Astyanax mexicanus: one gene and its partners. The protein of the gene in region 3 purifies or fractionates together with the protein of the main gene of each other region. This does not show direct contact. Links are inferred from orthologs where the notes say so. Each region holds a gene or a part of one and is shown on either strand. Other genes may lie near its edges.

Evidence for each region.
Region 1: the proteins of sodium/potassium-transporting ATPase subunit alpha-1 (region 3) and hadhb fractionate together in Homo sapiens (co-fractionation; 3 studies listed by BioGRID, with this or other methods). This does not show direct contact. The link is inferred for Astyanax mexicanus from reciprocal best matches to the Homo sapiens genes ATP1A1 and HADHB.
Region 2: the proteins of sodium/potassium-transporting ATPase subunit alpha-1 (region 3) and vdac1 fractionate together in Homo sapiens (co-fractionation; 3 studies listed by BioGRID, with this or other methods). This does not show direct contact. The link is inferred for Astyanax mexicanus from reciprocal best matches to the Homo sapiens genes ATP1A1 and VDAC1.

The regions. Positions count from the first base shown.
Region 1 is NC_064408.1:42,744,981-42,752,818, forward strand, and holds the start of hadhb (trifunctional enzyme subunit beta, mitochondrial), read right to left. Parts: upstream 3,026-7,838; 5' UTR 2,813-3,025; intron 2,739-2,812; exon of another isoform or gene 2,646-2,738; intron 1-2,645. Other genes in the region: hadhaa (hydroxyacyl-CoA dehydrogenase trifunctional multienzyme complex subunit alpha a), read left to right, coding at 3,252-3,318, 6,891-6,932, 7,037-7,107. UniProt on the Homo sapiens protein: Mitochondrial trifunctional enzyme catalyzes the last three of the four reactions of the mitochondrial beta-oxidation pathway.
Region 2 is NC_064424.1:47,952,942-47,959,954, reverse strand, and holds the start of vdac1 (voltage-dependent anion-selective channel protein 1), read left to right. Parts: upstream 1-3,988; 5' UTR 3,989-4,116; intron 4,117-6,326; 5' UTR 6,327-6,329; coding exon 6,330-6,396; intron 6,397-7,013. UniProt on the Homo sapiens protein: Non-selective voltage-gated ion channel that mediates the transport of anions and cations through the mitochondrion outer membrane and plasma membrane.
Region 3 is NC_064428.1:5,392,059-5,399,715, forward strand, and holds the start of sodium/potassium-transporting ATPase subunit alpha-1, read right to left. Parts: upstream 3,007-7,657; 5' UTR 2,883-3,006; coding exon 2,871-2,882; intron 2,679-2,870; coding exon 2,565-2,678; intron 2,021-2,564; coding exon 1,961-2,020; intron 1,639-1,960; coding exon 1,435-1,638; intron 1,326-1,434; coding exon 1,212-1,325; intron 1,125-1,211; coding exon 990-1,124; intron 1-989. UniProt on the Homo sapiens protein: This is the catalytic component of the active enzyme, which catalyzes the hydrolysis of ATP coupled with the exchange of sodium and potassium ions across the plasma membrane.

The DNA of each region.
Region 1 (7,838 bases), on a different chromosome or scaffold from region 3:
ATTGTTTTTATTGTATTTAATTTTAATTGCATTATGCTATTTATGTCAAAAAGCAGCTTTACATGGCTGAGGGTATACTAGACAAATGATTTAATACACCAGCAGCATTTAGAAATCTGAAAAAAAAAATTCACAAATGAATGAATGACACAGATGTATAACATGCAACACATTCAACAGACCAGGCAAGAACATAGACGTTTTACAAGTATTAAGTAAGAGAGTATGACATAAAAATATTATGAAATGATTATACGTTTATGAAAGAAGCCTTATGTTTTTAAAGTTCTAGGCTTAATTTCAGGGCTTGAAATATTCCCAAAATTTATTTCATACTATATTACTTCATTTAGGTCCCCATGCTAAGATTCTGATACCAATATGTACAGTATAAAAGCCACTGTCCATGGTGTACATAATGGCATGCTGATACTGAGTGATATGGTAAAAATATTATATCCCATTCCCCGTTATCCCGTCTCCCTCCACCCATCCTCACACTCTTCTATAGAGGGACCATTGAGAGCATCCTGAGCAGCTGCATCACTGCCTGGTTTGGGACCTGCACCGTCTCTGACTGCAAGACCCTCCAGCGTATTGTGAGGACAGCTGAGAGGATCATCGGCGTCTCTCTCACCTCCATCACGGACATTTACACCACCCGCAGCATCCGCAAAGCAACCAGCATTGTGAATGACCCCACCCATCCCTCACACAAACTGTTCTCCCTCCTGCCTTCGGGAAAAAGGTACCGCAGCATCCGGTCCAGCACGACCAGATTCTGCAACAGCTTCTACCCCCAAGCCATCAGACTCCTCAACTGCAGAGACTGAACTGATGTTTTTTCTGTACATGCACACACACTCTTACCCCACTTACCCCAGAAAATGGAAAGCACTAAAAACCCTACTACCTCACTGGACTCTATTGCACACTGTGCAATAGAGGTAATTACTACCTCACTGGTCTTTTTGCACACTTTTTGCACACTGCATAATTTGTACACTGTCTTGTTATTTATTATTCTGTCTGTATTGTGTTGTATTGTCTGTCTGCACTTTTGTACTGTTGCACTATTGTTTTGTCTACACTGTGTTTATGTGCACCATGGTCCCTGGAGGAACGTTGTTTCGTTTCACTGTGTACTCTGTATATAGCTGAAATGACAATAAAAACCACTTTGACTTTGACACACAGTATTTATCATCAAGTTTAAATAAGGAGAAAAAAAACATCAGCAGTGTCAGATTCTGCTATTATGCTATTTAAATACTATTTAATAATTTGCACAGTGATTATTAAATTTTTGTGGCACACCATGTAATTAAACACTCTCTGTAATTAAATTGGTTAGTTAGGTCAGGGTCCTGTAGGCCCTGATGGTACATTTGATATGATCGCAGTCCACTGAAAAACATGCATCTCCAAAACGGCAACTTTACAGAACAGCAACAAAATGTAAGTAAATGAAATAAAAAGTGTTTATTTCAAGTCTTTTATAAATGTTGCCAGTTCGCCTGTTAAACTTATTTAGCAAACTAAAAATCAACAAAAATGGAGCTTCTCGTTTTTCATTGGACAGCAAAAGCAGTGTCCTCACGATATAAATGATGGTAAATTATATAATTATACAATAAAAATATTGATATATTGCTAAACTCTATGTACAATATGTTACATATATAAATCCACAAAATAGTTTCGTTTATATTTTGCCTCGATTTTTGCGCTTTTCATTTGCGATGGTAGAAAAAACGTAACGATGCTACAGTATCTACTGTAGCGAACAGAAAGAAACCAGGCCGACACAGAATTAGACCACGCCTCTTCAACAGGGTGACCACGCCCACTATACTAAGGGTCCGTCAGGATGGCCTCCTCTAGCGTGGGTTCAGATCCCATACATGACAGGCTTTACTGTGTCATTGCGGTCAGCCTGGTCAAGGTTGTAAAGCTGTGAATTCAACACGGTCACTCACTCTTCTTTAATATATAGTCATATATTATTACATTAAATTACATTATTATATTAAAATAATGCTATAGACAACTTCACCAAGCACCATGTATGCTAACATACAGTGTAGCGAAAACGGCGTCAGTGCTCTTAATTCACCTTCAACATGACACTTAATAAACAAATGTCAATGCCAATGTCACTCTTTTCTGCTATAATCACACTATTACAGTCCACTGTGTTTGTTTTTTTGTTTGTTTGTTCAAAATAATGAATCTACAGTAATTTATGAGGAGGTATTGAAGGTAGCATTATATATCCTCTTATGTAAACATTTTAGTAATAAATGCGTGTCTATCAGAATAACAAACCTGCGATCAGCTGATTAATCACACTTTACAGTGTCTCAGGTGTGTAAAAGTCATATGCAAGACTTCTGATTTCATTCTGGTAACGTGCCCTGATTAGCTGAATTATAAACAGCTCGGTGACCCTTCACCTACTTCTTCAGCCGGCACAAGGGCAGGCTGCACACACTGCTAACTATCTCACTCTCACACACTAATTGTGCAAAACTACAAACTGCACTGCCCTGTCTACCAAACACACTAAACACAAATACTTTAACAGGCTTATTTACAATAAATAAAATAGTGAGACCATTAAAAACAGCAGGATTTGAGCTTACCGCAGCTAGCCAGCAAGACACCACACTGACAGTGAAATCAGCCAGCCCGCACTGCGCATGTGCACAAACACTCTCAAGCGTTCAGTATCTCTCTGTGTATGTGTGTGTTATTATGTTATTATAGCCAGTGAATGCAGATAATCTGTGTGTGTATGAAGGAGCGTTACCTGCGCAGATCCTGCTGTATGATGAACCCGAAGCCGCGGGACTCTTCCTGGGACTGGACCAAGATGACAAACGACTACAAAAAATGTGCAGCTCGAAAGACCTTAAAAGTTTCGTAGTAGCCCTGAAATCTGCCTGCACTAAATTGTCTTAAAACTATTAAACACAAAAAAACTAATCTGCATACACATATAAAACCAAATGCACTGAGCCGTATATATTCATGTGCACGTGTTTCAGTTGTCAGTGCTTTTAAAAAGTGACTTTAGCTACGCAATCTGAGAAATGGAATGCAGCTTGGGTCCTTAACGCACCGGTTTCCCCTCCCTCGCGCTTCCGTTTCACGGTTTGTGTGCTGGGGGGGTGCGCGTGTGTGAGTGCGTGATTGTGCGCGTGCGTCTGTCTGTCTCTCAGCGTCTGTGAAGCGGAGCTCCGGAGGCGATGGCGAGCGTACGGGCGGCGGGCACACTGATCAGATCTGCGGCCAGCAGATACCCTCATTTCTCCGGTAGGTGCAGCAGATCAGACTCAGACTCTGGGTTTTGTAGTTTTTTATAGTGAAATCAGCTCAATAGCGAAAAGCTGCAGTGCGTGTAGCGTCCTTACGCGACCCTGCGAGCCTCACAGGCGGATGAACTTTCACCTACTTCTGCTGGGAGGGTGACCGATGGGGGGGAATGATCAAGTGCATGACCAGAAGACCACCTTACACACCACCCCAGTGTACCAAAGAGTTGAGAATGTCAGTGTGTGTTATGTAATAAGGCATGCTATTAATTTGTGAAGTAGATTAGTTATATGTGCATTGCATTGAGTGAGTTTAGTTATAGAAGAATGAGTGAAATCAGAGCTGCTCCTTTAAACTAATTTTCCCCTTTGTTTTTCTTCATCTACAGTCAAGAATAGAAGGAAATGGCACAAAAATCAGTGTACACATTTTTTGCAGTAAACTGACAAGGCCTTGAAGGAAAGCAAATGAACTAAACACTGAAAAAAACATTTTATTATTGTAGAAAAAAGAGTATTGTAAAAAGGAATGATTTTAACAACTGAAAACTGTCATTACCTTTTGGAGAAATCTGATATAAAACCCTATATTTTAAAAATTGCACTAAATCACAGATTAGAGGTGGGCAATATGGCTTAATATAATATCACAATATTTCATTGTATTTTCACGATGGCGATACTCTTGGTGATATGTCAAAACACTGAATTTAAAAAATATATATATATATTTAAAAATATACGTACTTCAGCAATATAATATAATACAATATAATATGGCACACCCCTAACTGCGATAATAAAAAATACAAGAATTTTATCAGATTTGTAAAATAAGTCAATGACCAGAACATCATGATCATTAATGCACTTGAAATATCTCCATATATCCAGGAATGAAGTAAAATGAATGATACTGGACAGATATAATCTGTCTCTAGTAGATATATAATGGTAAATGAGAACAGTGTGAATTTTTATTTTGCTAAAAGCAGCAAAAAAAGTAGGACCCTGATGTGATAATTAGCGGTGGGCGATATGGCACAATATTTTAGGATGTAATATCGTTCACATTCACAATATTCAAAAATGTTGGTGATATTATTGCGTACCATAAGATACTATATGACACACCCATATCACAGATAGATATTGTAATGTCAGATTTTAAATAGGCTCTGGTAATGCTGCAACCTGGAACACGGAGTATCATTTTTTTTAGATCGGCCTAGTGACCCAGTGGTCTACAGTTAAGGTCACTGCACTTTTATTCTGAATAAAGTTTCCATAATTAGCTTACAGCTTATGAGTAGCAATAAAAATAAATTGAGCTTTGGAAATTGATTTGAAAAACTTGTCAATTTACAAAGCTTTTATCTGTAGTAAAGCAGTGCTGGAACAGATTTTGTTATTGCACTCTCTACTGCAGCATTTACACACTAGAAACACTAGAAGCACACGGCACATAACTACAGTAGAAAAAGACACACACAGATAACTCTGTAACTGTGTAAATAGGATTAAAAGGATCTTGACATGACAATACTGTTGTTTATTGCAATTATTTGTGCATGCATGTAGTCACAGTTATAAAGAATTTTTCAATATCCTTTTAATTGTTGTTTTTTACTGTTTGAAATGATTTCATGGCAGTGACGTCATATCAAACAAATGTTACCTTTTAGCTGCTTGATACAAAAGACGATACAAAAAAATCACACTGCTCTCTCATCATTTTTTTGACTCCAATTTTGGATACATGGAATAAATTGTTAATATTGTAACAATCAGGGACTTCTGGAGAAATCTGATATAAAATCCTGTTTTTCAAAATAGCAATTAATACAGAAAAAAATATATATTGCAAAGTGAGATATTAAATGGGCTCTGGTATGATTTTGTAGGTTGGCCTAGTGACCCAAACATTCCCCCAAAGTTTCCATATATGGTACCTGAGTGAATGATGTCCCAAACCATATTTACACCCAAGTCCTGGTGACGCTAGTCGTCTTGTCACTCCCTGTTTAGAGTACTTTTTCCACATGCACTCATACACACGCTCTCTCACAGAGGGTGTGTATGGTGGCATTACCTCTTGTGACCGGGTCAGGTGAAGGAGAAACAGAACTGGGCTGCAGGTCATGCTGCATCAGTAACTGTATCTGTATTTAGGTCAGAGTCATTATTGATTAATAAGGGATGTTAAACTGTTTTGATTAAGGTTAGGGTCATACATGATTTCTTTTGATTTTAATTGCATGATTCTGTGGCTTTAGCTCAGTCTAGTACTAAATATTAAAGAGTTACAATTGACCAAGGTCAGTAAAAGTGACCCTCAAAGTTTTGTTGGTAAAGTAGCTATAGATATAATAGCTGTATATTGGGACAGTTTTTAAGCTTTCTTATTAGAAGAAAATATCTTAAGTGATTAATTTCTGTAATACTGAAGATTTTTCTGGTTTCACAGCTCTGCAAAAACCTTTTTTCTTGTCACGATCATTACATTATTGACTTATCATTCACTAAATGGACATGCCCTCAATAATATTTGATAATTGTGATATCATCTATTGTGTTTAATTGTATGTTTGTTCACATATATAACAGTGAACAGTATTTTAGCCAGTTATGTAATATCCAATGTTTTAATAACCCCATACACACAGTGTGTACTGCAAAAAGTATGTATTTTCCAAACTATAATAAATTACAAATTTGTTGTCTTTAAAAGGGAACGAAGTTGTGCTTTAAGCTTTTCTGTTTTTTAGAGCTGGGTAATATGCCCTAAAAATCTATTTTTTTTTCACCAATAAAAGAAAATCAGTTTTTTGATTTTAACTAAAAAAATTTCCCTATTAAAAAGAGACAGACACTGGATTATACTGCAGAATGTGAGCAGTAATGAAGCAGTAAACAGGTCACAGAAAGTTGTAATGAAAGAAACATTCAAGGAGCACTATTTATTGTTTTCCACAAATAATCACGGATCCTCACCGGAGGAGGGCCACTCTGAACTATAGAAGCCCAGAAGGGAGCATAGGTAGCAGAAGTCTAAACAGAGAAAATCAGTTTTCATAAAAACGCATCGTCCTTAACTGTAAATTTTAATTAATTCATAAAATTGATTTTTTTTATTATCATTATGTCAGTGGCATGTAATTGGGCTTAAAATGACAATAATATCGTTTATCACAATAATTACTGGGGCGATTAAATCGTCCACAAAAAAATATCATTTTGACGGGCCACACACGAGAGAATAAACCTGTCCTGTTTAAATGTTTGTCCAAATATCACCCTAAAATTACCAATCTTAAGTAAACATCTTTAAACTGGTTTTTGACTGCATGTTTTACTCACACTTTTATTCATGATCACATGTTTTTTCAGTGTTGTGTGAACTAAAGATGTGATTTAGATGAAGTAATCTGAGTTTATATAAACATTACATAAAATAGTAAGCTAGAGAATGTGTTAAGCTTTTCAGGCTGTATCTACAGTCTTTAGGTTCAGTATTTTTCTTTAAGCTGAGGGCTCTGTTCACTTGTGCAAATATATATTTTTTTTGTTTAGTGAATGGACGCCGGAACTTCTCTGCATCATCAGCTCTGCTGGGTAATTATTAGCATAAGTGTTTTAAACCATCAACACACATTATTAATTTTATGATCCCTGCTTTTGGCGTATAATCCTGTACATATCTGTGATCTTTTTTTCAGCTCGCACCTATGTCAACTATGAGCTCAAAGATGACGTTGCAGTCATCAAGATCAACGACCCTTCAGGCCGGGTCAGTAACTCCAACACACTGTTCTGTCTTTCTAAGGGAAATTAGTTTTATTGTGATGTGATGTGATGTCATTTTCACTTTCATACTGCACACTTATTTTTTTTTAAGGCTGAGTGTTATGAAATGGACTTTTATCATATCAGCAAATTGTCAGCAAATATTCACTTTTTCTTTCGCAAAAATCAGTGTTGTTCAAAGGTGCAAGCAAACGTTTAGGCACCCTATAAATATGTTGCTGTGAATATTTAGGAAAATAGAAGATAAACTAGTCTATAAAAATGTTTACTAAAAAGTAAAAGTTTGGAGAGGAAAATAGACTTTTGGATGGCAGCTTTTATCAATGTCTACGACCTTAATTACATTGCTATGCCTATGGTTTGTTCTTAACAACCATTAGCAATTATTGTATTACTATCTTCAAATTCTGTAATCCTGGATCAGGCTGCTTTTGGGCCCTTTTCCCTTTCAGATTCATAAAATAATTTAGTTTAAACTCTTTTCATCTTTTACTCTCTTATCTGTTTTTTTAAAAGACACTTTAAGCAGGGGTGTTCAGACGGGTGTTTTGCATGCTTTTGTAGGTTTTATACTGATAGTAGGGTTGGGCGATGTCTCCTTAATTGGCAGATGACGATGTTTACAGTGAAACATCGCGATGGACAATGATAGAGTTGGGGGGGGGGTTAAAAATAATTAATATAAAATAAAAACTCATTTACAACAATATTTGA
Region 2 (7,013 bases), on a different chromosome or scaffold from region 3:
GCTGCTAACAAATACATAAACTACACAAACTAAACAAAATACACAAAATACACAAACTAAAGAAAACTACACAAATTACACAAACCAAACTAAATCACACAAACTAAACAAAATACACAAACAAAAAAATACACAAACTAAACAAAATACAACCACTAAACAGATTACACAAAATAAAAAATACACAGAAATAATACATACACATATTCATCTTTAATTATTTAGCATGTGGGCAAAAATTACAAAGAAATGTAAAATATTAAAACCTTAATTTTAGTTTTAGTTAAAAATTGAAGCACTATTCAGCTTTAATAATTTAATAAGGAAAAAACAGGACATTAAATTTAAGATAATTAGTAAATGTAATTTTTACAGCTTTAAAGTTTCTGATTTTTATAGTTAATGTATTGTTTTTAAATGTAAATTTATTTTAGTAATTAAGTAAATTAGCATGTGCAGCTTTTTTAATGTTTATGCAGAATTTAATTTTTTTAATACAGTATTTAAAAAGTACTAAACTCTAGTGGTGATTAAAGGGAAATCCATCCAGTATGTATTAAGGTATAAGAGATTACTCTATAGTGTTTTAATATTGTAAAATTACTGAATGTTTTAATGCAATTCATATCAAAAGTAAATTTCACTTATTCAGCTACTGCATATGTTTCGTATTCAGTGTAAAACAGACTTTATAATTCCAGCATAAAAAGGAAATAATAAAGTGATGTTTATTTAAGTAACATATTACCCGTTTATAAAATTATTAAAAACATTACACTTATATTTAATAAACAAAACACTGAGTAAACATAATACAATTATTTATAATGCGTTATATATAATTATAACTATGCTGTAAAAGATGCGGAGAGGAAGTGAGTTCGGAAAAATAACTAAAAAAATACATTTAAAACAAATAAAACCTTTAAAGATTCTGAATTTAATGCGCTGATGTTTCTGCAGCTCTGAGAGTCACACAGCGCCACCCTCCGGCCAACCCGCCTCATTACAACAACACACACCTGCAGCCTTACACACATTACAGCACAGCAAACACACACACACACACACACACACAATACATACACACACAATACACACACACAATACATACACACACTATACACACACACACAATACACACAATACATACACACACAATACACACACACACACAATACACACAATACATTCACAATACATACACACACAATACACACAATACATACACACACAATACACACACACACACAATACATACACACACAATACACACACACACACTACACATACACTGAACTCTTCACGCACAATACTAAGAAAACACACATCATCTTTAAAATAATAAATACATCATCATCAAATCTCTTGTGAAGATGAGAAAAATCAGTTTATAGTTTTTTCTGTTTCTTTTCTCATCTGTTTATCATTTCTTCCCAAATTAGAAGTTCCTAAACTGCGAGCTGTGGATCTCTGCAGCTCCTCTACAGTGACCATGAGTCTCCTGAGGGGATTTAACACACAGTAAAGCTAATCCTGCACTTCACTAATCTGCCCTTTATAAACACATAAACCAAAAGAAACGTTTTTTAAATGATAAGAGTTTGAAATTTAGTGGAGCTAAAGTAACCGTACAGGAACCAATCACATTAACTTCATAACTGTCCATTACTGAACTCTTAAATCCTTAATCTTTATTCTTTACTGATTTATGTATAAACCATTAAAGAATAAATCAAAGATAAAACACAAATTTACTAAATTTACTTTATAATCAGTGTACAGCAGAGAGTCAGTGGTGATACAGTACACAAAGTACATCATTTTACAACAGTACTCAATCCTGTACGGCTGCTACAGATAAAATAGAAATATACCTTTATTTATAGCAGCACAATATATAATTTCAGCATCGTTATTGCATTGAATCGTTCCGGTTGTGCAACAGTCACATTATAATACAGGGGTTAGAACTGAATATATATTACAATATATGGTAAGCATATATTGTGAGCAAGCAAGACAATTTATTAAGATTATTTTTAAATTAAATTTTAGAACTTTATTGAAAATTAAAGGAATGTAATCAGAAGGAAGATGGATGATCACAAGCAATCAAACCAAACTTAACTGCCTAGTGCCTAACCTTTTACACAAACCAAACATGATCCCAAGACTCATGCCAAGGCTATCATTAAAAATCTGTTATTCCATCAAATATTGATTTCTGAACTTTTAAGACATTAGTGTTGTTGTTTCTAAATAAATATGAACTTGTTTTATTTGCATTATTTGAGGTCTGAAAGCTCTGCATCTTTCCCCTAATTTAAATAACAATATTTTATTTGGAATTTGGGAGAAATGTTGTCCGTAGTTTATTGAATATAACAACAATGTTCATTTTACTTAAACATTTACCCGTGATCATTTTAAAGGAATCTCTTATTGTTTCTGGAGCTGTAACCTATATATCTTACTGTAGTGAATAAAGAGGCAAAATTATTTTATTAAAGAATTAAAGGAATTTATAATAAACTCGTGGATAAAGTTCACACAACCTGCACAGTATAAATTAAATATAAAGTACAGTATAAAGTAACTTACAGATAAATATGTACACTGCTGTATAATATGTGTCAAAGTTACTTTTAACTTAATTGTAACAGTTTTTTGTTGTGTTAATCTTATCTTCTTTCAATCTTTTTTATTTTTTTTTTTTATCTTTTATTCACTGTTTTATTCACAAATGATTATTATTTTTTGGTCATGTGAATCCCCTGTATTTGTAAATGCTCGCTACACTGAAAATGAGGGTTGCCCTCAATGTATTTCTTAGTTAAATTAATGGTTGATTGATTTATTGATTATTGGTCAGTTTTCTGTCTGAAGCCCCACTGGTTATAATGTGTTTAATGTTTTGTATTAATTCGGTAAATAATGCATTAAACTCTTTCGGATGTTATATATGATGTCGCTATGGTTACAGTTCCGAGATTTTCCGCGAGACATGACTAAATCTCACCTCAACCGCGCATGCGCTGCACAAATAGCGTAAGAGGCGGGGCGGGACCAAAGCTGAAGACCCCGCCTACTTCCTTCCTCCGCCGTTATATCAGAAATCTGCCCACATAGCCGCCAGGGGGCGCCCGCGAGGGAGTGCTCAATGAATAGGGTGAATGGAGCCAAACGAATAAAACTCAAATTAAATATAATGTCCAATACTCCAGAATATTCCTTTAATTTGACCAAAAAGCAAAGAAAATTACCTGTATATTACATTTCTCTACAGTGAACAGGTTTCAGTAAAGATGCTGCATTACTGCTACTGTGAGCTGATTGGTTGGTAAGTTTAAGCTGGAAATACAGACAGAGCTTTTAAAAAAGTTTAAAAGCTTTAAAAATGTGTGCAATAAAACATGTGATGCAGTTCTGTGGTGAGGAAACGTGTTTTTCATTATAAAAATGATCAAACATTTATAAACTGTGATTTTTCTGTAATGCTCCATATGAACCCATTCATTTATACTCTGTATAGTATAAAAGTAGGTTATCTATACTTTACTGCCGTAATTATTTTACATTTTCACACAATTATCTGAACTTTCTACTTCTTACATTTTAAAAAACAGCCTCGTTACTCCTGTTTCATTTCAGCTGGTTTTCATTCCGGCTTCTCATCATTCAATAAAACTCCTATCCAGATAAATCTCTCCATCCAGATAGAGTGAATCTGATTCTGATTGGATGTAGAGAAATATAAACATATACCATTCCCACTCCCTATTGGTTTAACTGTGATCCATCACACCTGCACACAGTTTTTGAATCCAGTACTTTTACACTTTTACTTAAAGAGTAAAAAACTTGAGTTGATTCTTCAACTTCTACAGCAGTATTTGATTAAACTTTAGTATCTATACTTCTATTTACAGAGTGATGGATGGAGATGGGGATTCTCCTGGGTAGAAGGTCTGTGGCGGTGCTGCAGATGTTGTTACGCGGACAGCGTGACCTCTCCTCTCCTCCTCCTCCCTCCATCTCTCTCTCTCTGTCTCCTCCCCCCATCCTCCTCTCCTGACTGAAGACTGCAGGCCGGGCGGAGAGGCTGTATCTGCGGTAAGCTCCAGCTCCAGGTTTATGGTTGTTACCGGTTACACGGCGCTGTTAGACCGCACTGCCCGCAGCCCGGCTGCGCTCCGCGGGGTTTAGCGGGAAACCGCGGCCGCAGCGCGGGGCTGAAGCTGTCGGTGGCGGCGGGGTGATGTGCAGCCAGGCGGGTCCGCGGCCTGGTAGCGCGGTGCTGCAGCCCGGGGATGCCCGGGTTTGGGCGGTGAGACCGCGGGGAGGGATTGGGTGGGTCTCCTCCTCTGCGTTCATCCCCGCGGTCTTTCTGCTCCAGGCCGGACCCTGACCGCAGCTCAGCTACCCGGGTAGCACAGGTCTGTAATTCCGCTCCACAAAGTAAAAATCCACCCCGGGATCTTTTACTGCAGCTCACCACTGATCTACTGAACCAGAAACCTGGGTGGATTTTTACTTTGTGGAGCTGGATCACTCATCTCTAACTAGCGGCTGTGGCTAACGGAGCCCAGCGGGCAGGGAGCAGGCAGGGAGCGGGGTGATGCTGCGGATCTGCCCGCCCTCAGTAACCTTCATCACACACCGCGATATTTAGAGAAGAGACTCGGGGATGGATGAGTGTGTGTGAAGGAGAGAGAGAGAGAGAGAGAGAGAGAGAGAGTGTGTGTGTGTGTGTGTGTGTGTGTGTCTGTGTGTGTGAGTGTAAGGGGGGGGGGGGGGGGGTCTTTCTCCTTGACATTGTGAAGGCTGTACACACTGCTGTGTTGCATCAGCTCAGTTTATTCTTTCTTCTAGTGTATAGATTAGTGTATAGATTCATTTATATAATTAATATATAATACAGGTTGAGAGTATAAACCCTGCTGTAGTAAAGCTGTAGATCTGCTGCTGCTGCTGTTAAACTCGGGCTAAATCTAACCCTCCTCTCCCAGCTTCACCTTCACACTCCGGATCTGAACACAGGCCTGTGTTTAAACTGTGCTTCTCTAGTGTGTTTTTAGACTTATTTAACTCTAAAAATACTAAAAAAAAGCTCCATATTAGAGCATGTTCCCGCTAGAAGTCCCAGTGCATGTAGCGTTACCGTATTTGGATAGCATAAATCACTGTATCATGGTAAAGATATGGAAATGAGAGGTCATACTGCTTTTGGATTTTTTTAAATAATATTTGTAATTTTTATTATTATTAGTTTCCATTTTTATAGTACACTTTTTTTAGCAGTGACAGTGAGACCGGATTTTAACAAATTTATTGTAAAAAAACTAAATAATTAAAAAGTGTAGGTCAGCGCATGCGCAGTGCCTTTAGGAAGCACGTATCGATGGGTAGCACAACTCGACAGAACACCCGGCTCTCTCCTCCTGCTTTTAATAAACTACTTATTCTTAAATATTCGTATATATATGATATAATTATAAAATATAATTCTAAAAATAAAACAATTTACACACACATTTATCCCCTGAACGCAAAACATGGATTGATCCATTTCTAAATATTTTGTTTTATTTTTTATTAATTTGCTAGAAATTAAATTAGAGGAGCAGTCCATTCTCTTATTTAAATATCCATGTAGTTGAGTTTTAACTCAAAAGGAGGAGTTTGTCAGACAGGGGTTAGGCCTAGTCTTAAACTGCACAGCATTTGGATTTAATCTGAATGAAGATCCATTTACAGGAAAGCATTTTAAACATGGAGGTTTTTAAATGTTGTTTATGTGAAGCGTTAACTCCGTGCAGAATGGGAATAGATTAGCATATGCTTAACTCTTAAAGCTTAATGAAAGCGTGGTGACGTGATTAGCTCACTACTACTGGAGTACAGGTCAGGAGCTCAGGGTTGTCGGATCAGATCAGTCAGTGATGGTGCCGCATGCGGTTCTATGGGGAGGTTCTATGCTGGTGATTCAGTGATTTCTGGTCGGGTTAGCTTTTTTAAACTGGTTCTCAGGTAAGAACTGACAGCAGTGTGGTTTAGATTGTGTTGAGAGTGAGCTGTAGTTTGTTGCTCTGTTGTGAGAATGGGTCTAATTGGCTGAAAGGAGAGCAGATGGTCAGATGGTTTCTCTATGGATCCATGTTCTGATGCGCCCCAGTGACCATTTACTGTTCCCATAATCCTCCAGTTATTATAACAGCACACATTCCACAGCGCTGTCTCCTCCACTTCAGTTCACACCGGGTCGGTTCCGGTTCAGTTCTGCGGTTCCTCTCAGTAAAGTATAATTCTGTGTTCTCCTGCAGATCATGGCTGTTCCACCGACATACGTTGACCTGGGAAAGTCTGCTAAGGACGTCTTCACTAAAGGATATGGTAGGAATTGGGTTTAGATGATTGGTTGGATTGTTGGTTGAGTTGGGAGCTGATCTTCTACAACATGTTTAAACACACCTCCAAACTCCTCCTTCAGCCCTGTTTGGACAGATTATTTATTATTGTTTACCTGGGGAGGGGAGGATGGGGAGTCATGTATTTTTGCTATTTTGTAAAAGTAAATAAAAACAAATTCACACTTCACACACAAACGTATCTCAGTATAAGTGACAGAGATGGGAGTGGCTACTCGATTTACACACTGCTTTCACCTACAGAGAACATAATGATAACCATTTTATAACCCACTTATAGTTTATTTAATTTTAGTTGTATTGGTTGAGGATGATGTACCAGTGTTTTAAAATGTACTCTGCACTAACTACAGAGTGATATACGGCTCTATATAACACAAACTATAACTTTCACAACTGTCTGTTCAAATTAAATGCAATTCTACTAGGTTTAATCCTGTTTTTATTGAGTTAATGAATCAAAGCTGTGCTGTGAAGTGAACCGTGAGTTTTCTGTATTGTAACTGTAATTATAAAAAAAAAAAAATGTTAAAAGCTGTAGATCTGTGCAGTTAAATGGGTTAAAGATGGAAATGTTGTTTG
Region 3 (7,657 bases):
GAGTGCTCATTTGTAGCGCCGAAAAACGGGCCAAAGAGTCTAAAAGTAGCAAGAGTGTTCAGTTGTAGGGCAGAAAAAGAGGCCAAAGAGTCTAAAAGTTACCGTAAATAAGGAGTTGACTTCAAATATATTTCTCCTTCTGCCCCCCCCAAAAAAAGTTTGGACACCCCTGGCTTAAAGGGTTTGTTTCTGGTCTGTTTCTTTCTATCTCATTGATAAGTCTCTCCTGGTTCTTGTGGTCTTTTTGACTTGGCGCCCACTTCTTGTCTCCTTTTGTAGACAGTTTGCCTTTACCTTGGACTTTCTAGAGTTTCTGCAGTCTTTGAAATCACTTTGTATCTCTCTTTGTAGCTTTGTTTGATCCTCTGAAAGCTCTTTTTGGCACAGCATTGCTCCCATATGCATATTCGTCTTGTGTAGAACAAAAATTTGACTGATAAAAACAGGTTTTATTAGTCAAATTAGTGCGACTCCAAACTTCTAAACTAGCAAGACTCCAGCTATCCTATTTATTGACTTTAAATAGCTTTTTTGAGGTCATATAACATAAGGGTTCACATACTTTTTTACCACTAGAATTCTGATATTTTTATAGTTTTCTCAATGAAAACAAGAACAATCATAATGTTTTTTTTTTTTTGTGCAATTATTTGCAGCACATTATATTTTTTAAAACCATGAAATTCTAAAGGGTTGACATACTTTTGAAAAGTCTGAAGGAAATAATATGATACAGTTTGAAGCTTTGGTTCTACTTATATCTGTTTTGTTGTTTGATTGAAAAAAATAAAAAAATTGCAGACAAAAATCAACCATTTGGCTTAAATATTTGCCTAATTTTTGATTCAGGGATGAAAACAAAGGCTAATCCTTAATTCCTACCTCATAAATCAGCCTTTTTAGGTTTAAAAATATATGTTACATAATTCCCAGGACAGATAGAAGAGTTGTTTGTGTAATTAAGTCGGATTAATTTTTTTAACAGTCACCTTGCATCCGTGTGCGGAGATAATGCGCAGGTCAGCAGGGATTCGGTCTCCGCCCTTAACCTCCACAAGGTCACCAGCCACCACCTCCTCAGCATTAATGCTCTTCTTCTCCCCGTCTCGGATTACCAGGGCTTGCTGTATTAGAACGATACAGCAGGGTGTTGAGTAATTTCACGTGAACAGCTCAGCTCAGTGGAATATGGTTTTATGGTTTTATTATACCTGTGGGACGAGGTTCTTAAAGGACTCCATGATCTTTGAACTTTTGGCCTCTTGATAGTAGGAGAAACATCCTGTGATCATGACCACAGCAGACAGCACAATACCAAGGTACAACTGCAACAAACGAATGTTTGAATTAGAGATATAGAAAGAGAGAATAATGATGCTAACATGCTAAATATGCATCTATAAATCTGCATCTAATATCCTCGGGTTATCTTACGTTATCATTGGTTGGTTCATCTTCTGAGGCAGCCTGGATTCCATAAGCCAGAAAGCAGAGAATAGCTCCAATCCACAGCAGCGTGGAAAACCCTCCAAACAGCTGCTTGCAGAACTTCACCCATTCTGGAGTAGTTGGCGGTGGGGTCAGAGCGTTGGGTCCATCCCGTGCAAGGATTTCTTTAGCACGAGTCGCAGATAAACCCTTAAAAATAGTACGAAAAAGACTTTTAAAAGATTTGTTATTGGACATTTTGGTTAGAAAATGTGTAGTAAACGATAAACTGTGGAAAAATCAACTTACAAAAGTTAAAATGACTATTTTCATCAAGATCACCAAGCAAAAATCTTAATAAATAAGTTTTTTTTTTATGTCACATGCTTAAAAAGTCTACTGTGTAGTTTTAGCACAAAATATGAGTTTTATTCTTTAACAAAATTGTACAAAAAGTAATGTTTTATCTTGAGAAAATGATCAATCAGTAAATATATATATATATATTTTTGCTCTACACTTTTGTACTTACCCTGCTGAGGTCTGTGCCGTATTTGCGGTGAAGTTCATCCAAAGACAACTTATGATCATCCTTTAGTAGAGAAAACACAATAATTATTATAATTAATATTTCAATCAAACAAAACCAATGTGAAACAGTTCAGAGTAAAACAGCAGCATTTCTTTTCAAATTTCTCCATTTTACTTATGTGAAATTAGCTATTTTCTTTAATTTTGTAGGATGTGTATTTTAAGTGCCCTTTTGAATAAAGAAATAGAAGTCTACATAAAGCACATTTTAGTGGTTTTATGTAAAAAAAAAATATATATATAATTTTTTTAACAAAATAAAGGAAGAATAAATTATTTTTTGCCAAAACAAATGGAAAAAAATTAAATAAAAATTATGTGTTACAGTTTGCTAAATTTTACTTCTACTTGTCTTAATCTTATTGTTTTGCTGTTTATTTAACTAATAAATTATAGTTTATAGTTGTAGCTTTTTATGTAAAAAAGTTTTGTTTTTTATAAGAAAGAATAATTGATTTCAATATATTTATGTACAACATACATATATTTGTTAAAATGGCTTGATTAATATATTTGTATTTTTTATTATTAATGGAATTTCTTACTAAATCAACTTCTTTCTTCAATTCATCCATGTCCTTATCTTGTTTCTTTCCCTTTTTCTTCTTTTTCTCTCCATCTTCTGAAGTTGAGGCCAGCTTGTATTTATCAGAACCCGTCTGAGGAAAAATAATATGTGAGAAAATTACAGCTTTTGTTAAGAAAGGTGAGCTCACACACAATGCGCTGTAAACACGTCATTAAAATCAAATTAAAATCTTAAAACAGAAAAATATTTAAAACTTAATCAAATATTAAAATAAAGGTGTGTTAATAAAACAAAGCAGATAAGAAATAAAAACGCAACTTACTCCTAACCCCATTTTTCCTTTTTTTTTTTGTGTTTTCAGGTTCCAGCAGTAAATTACGGTGCTCCTGTTCCCTGTGGTTAAAGTGTGAGGCGACTCCTCTCAGTGGGAGTCTCTGCACTTCCAAACAGGTCTGCAAACCTTTATAGCTCGCAGCCCTCCTACCTGAGGAGGAGGAGAGTCGAGGGAAAAGGGGCGGAGTTTGGCAGGTGAGATTTAGATTTTCTGTTATAATTCAGTCAACCTCCATTTGCACTTCATTTGTACTTTTTAACCTTCACTGACTTTAAGGAAAGGCGAAGGAGAACCAAAGTCCAGGTTTTGGCCATCGTTAGATTTATGGACTTCTGTAGCACAGTTCAATGCTATCCTGGTGTCAGTTAATCTTTAACACAGACAATGCCCTTATTATAGCATATAGAGGTGGAGGAAGGATTGTATTTGCTTCCTTTCTGACTGACTTTAAGTCAGTAAAAGTGCTTTTCCTGCTTTTCATCTTTGTTTAAACATTGTATTGTTACTATTTCTGTTATTAATACTATGTGTAAAAAGAACAGTGTGAAATGTACAGGAACGTACTGGCAGCAATTAGCTAGTAAGCTGCTGTAGTTACTTTGTTAACAGTATGAATAGCCTCATTGCAAACTCTATAACATGAAATAAGTGTATTTGGTACCACTTTAAAATAGGACTACCTTTATAAAGGGTTTATAAATGGTTTACAATGGTTTACAGTTTATTAATGGTTACTAATTAGGTTGTAAATGCCTTAAAATGCCTAAAAATGAATAATCAGTTAAAATAAACACATACGTAGAAAGGGCAACAGTATAGATGGCTGTGGGTTCACTATTTGGCAAACAACAGGTCATTGTTGCCCTTTCTACATATGTGTTATAACTGATTATTAATTATTTCAAGGCATTTACCACCTAATTAGTGATCATTAATAAACTAATTGTAAACCACTTATAAACCCTTTATAAAGGTAGTCTTATTTTAAAGTGGTACTGTGTATTTTTTTGGTTGCATTCCAACTTTTAATGTTGATGAGATAAAAAAAAAACATTTAAACGACCTTTATTTAAAGTAATACTAGCTTATTTTTCAATATAATTGATTATTGGTGAAATTCTGACATTAAATCAACGTTCATTTGAAGGCTTAGAATGGATGGGATAAGCTCTTCTACTCCCACAAATAATAAATTATGATAATAATAATGATAATTATGTCATGTTAAATAATGTCCAGATTCATTAATTAATTAACTGTATTTATCTGATGCTCTTATTCAGAGCGATTTACAAAGTTATTCATATTAGAGAGTTGGGTCAATGTAGTGTTAGGAGTCTAGCCCAAGGACTCTTATTGGTGTAGCACAGCATTCAGTCAACCAGACCTGGAATTGAACCCCAGTCTCCCACATTAACTCGCTGGCAGGTGGTGATGTTATCCACTACACCACACTGTAACACACCAACCATCTAAGGTGCAGGAACAAAAATAAAGGTTTTTAGAATATAAGCGTATAATACAAACAACATATAAGTTTTTAGTGTAATTAGAGTTAAAATAATACACAAACAATACATACTGTATAAAACCATAATGATAAATCAATGCTGAATCAACTAAAATTGATGTGCACAAATAAATCTGTCACAGTAACAGACTGATGTATTTTTAGCACAGAAAATATTAGACTATATGTTAAACAGCAATGGTAAAATGATTGTTAACTGTTTTAATAAACAATAATATAATATAATTCTCAAGTTTTATTTAATTTAATTTTATTTATTGTATTATTAATAACACATTTTATATTTTAATAAACATCATGTAGCTGGCTAGCTATCCAGTGCACTAACACACATAGCTACTGTAGCTAGCGATAAACCTTAACACACATGCACATTTATCCAGTAATGTTACTAGTTCACCAAACTAAAGAAACTAAACTAAATGTCTCCAGACATATTATTTTAATGAATGTACAAAATGTTTATTTTGGTAATAATTTGATTACTAGCTAAAGAAGAAGCTTCTCTTCAATGATTTTCTCTCTTATTGTAGTGTAGCTAGCGTTAGCTGTTTAGCTAGCAGAGCAGAGCAGTACCACAGAAAGGCAGCAGTTAGCCAATAAGCGGCAAGTTAAAGTTCATTAATACACTGTACTTTATAAACTGAAATAAAAGGAAATAAATATTTCAGCACCACTGACTGTTTATTACTTTAAAAATACAAGCAGAAAAAGGCTAGCTTGGTGTTAGCATGCTGAGGTAACTCACCACTAACATATATGTGTTAAGTTAATAGATTGGCTGCCTTTCTTTGTGCCTTTCATTTGGCTACTAGTGCAACTAAAAAAAAATTGAATATTATTGAAAAGTTACTCTATTTCAGTAATTCGGTTCATAATGTGAAACTCATATTATATAAATATATTACACACAGAGTGATCTATTTTAAGCGTTTTTTCTTTTATTGTTGACGATTGTGGCTACAGCCAATCAAAAACCCATAAATAAGTGTCTAAGAAAATTTGATTTTTATATAAAACCAATTGGTACTTTTGACAGTGTGGGCAGTGTGCCAACTCCTGCTGGAAAATGAAATCTGCATCTCCATAAAAGTTGTCAGTAGCAGAGGGAAGCATGAAGTGTTGTAAGATTTTCTGGGAAAACAAAACTGCACTGACTTTAGACTTGATAATAAAACACAGTGGATCAACACCAGCAGATGACATGTCTCTCCAAACCATCACTGATTGGTGGAAACTTCACACTAGACCTCGAGCAGTTTGTCTCCACTCTTCCTCCAGACTCTGCTCCCTTGATTTACAAATAAAATGTAAAATTTACTGATGATCAGTGATGGTTTGGAGAGTCATGTCTGTCATCTGCTGGTGTTGATCCACTGTGTTTTATTACTAAGTCTAAAGTTTTCAACTTTTATGGAGATGTGGATTTCATTTTCCATCAGGACTTGGCACACTGCCCACGCTGCCAAAAGCACCAATTGGTCTTATATAATATATACAGTTATGGATGATATACTGATATCCCTTTGTCTAAAACTAGTAATAAAATTAGATCTGAGTTGAAAATAATGTAAAAAATGTATAGTTAGCAAAGAAAGTGTCTTGTTTAAACTGCTGAAATTAAAATCATGCTCCAAGATTACTGTACTCCGATTCACGGTTGAAATACATTTAAAATTTCCCACTATATTTCAATAATAATACTTATAGATCTACAGTAACATGCTGCACACATGTTCTATAGTATAAATGTGTTTTTAGTACAGTAGTAATGCTTTAAAGCTACCTTTCTCTGTTCTAATTAAATGTATTTTTTTATTATTTTTTAAATGAAACTAAAGCGTTTGAGGCTCCTGAGCATATCCTATGTAAGTAAGAATTACAGTACGTTGAATGCAAATGTTAATCTCCTCCATGTTTTGGAAACAGATGTCTGTTTGTTGTCAGTTGGCGCTGGATAGCTTAAGATAAGAGTAGCAAAGCCTCAATGTCCTTCCCACAGAACCAGATGTTCACATGATTCCCACACTCCCTTCAGCAAGCTCTACATTATGAAAGTAAAGGTGCAAAAATGTCTATTTGCGTGTGAATGTGAATGTGCCTGAAACATCACTTTCATTATGTACAAACAGTGTATTTGTGTGTAAAATCTTAAGAAACTAGACTAAACTAGCGTGGATTTTTGTGTACAATTGAGTGCACACTGAGTATTTGTGAAGCAGCTTGTTCATAAATGTATGTATGTATGAATGAGAGGAATCACTGCTGGGTGATCAAGGTGAAATCCACAGAAAAACCCAGGCTGAACATTTTTCCATGTTAAACATTAAAGCCAAAGTTGACTTTGCTTCATATGGTTACATTTTAATAATCCCCAGGCTAACCTGTTGTAAAACTTTAGCATTCATTAACTTTCGGCGTACCCAGAGCACTCCGCACCAGTAGAACCAGTTTTAAGGAAGTGACCTGAGACGCAGACGAGTAACTCTACACTCCAGCGCACAGACTTTTACTGCAACAAGCGCTCTTTTGATGAAGGAGGCTGAAAATAATGAAGGGCCTGTGCTCAGCCCGTAAGCTTGTTTATGAACAGAACACAGAGACCTCCCCTATGAAAGCGTCGTGGACATGGGACATGTTTTTAAAAGAGGTAAACTCGCAGACTTGAAATAGTGAAAGTTTTAACAAGTTTGAGCAACAGATCACCTCCATCAAATCACCTCCAACAAATCTTCCAAAAAAACGCTGAAAAGTTGAAATGCGTGTTTTAAAAGAACGATGACAAAGCAGATTGTTTGGAAAAATAAAAAAAGTGCTGACATGTTTCCTTATACGTTGGCAGAGGTGGAAAAAGTCCTAAGTAAAAGTACCTTTACTTTGCTAAAAATTTAAATTCCCATCTAAAAATCTACTTGAGTAAAAGTAAAAAAAGTACTCAATTTAAAATGTACTGTGAGTAAAAGTACAACAAATCATAAATTAAATCTTTTTATATAATAATTTGGATCTTTCAGGCAGTATTTGTTCAGACCACCCCATAAAACTTTTTTAAGAACAGCTGCGCTGCCATGGAGAACAAAACTCAAATTTCTTTTTTAATTCAGACAATTCGTTTTTTTTCCCCCAGCATTTTATTTTTCACTCAGTAACGGGGAGTTTTCCAATGTAGCAAAGTAAATTACTTGTGTCAAAATGTACTTGAGTAAAAGTAAAATGACCTATTTTAAAAACGACTTTAAAAATG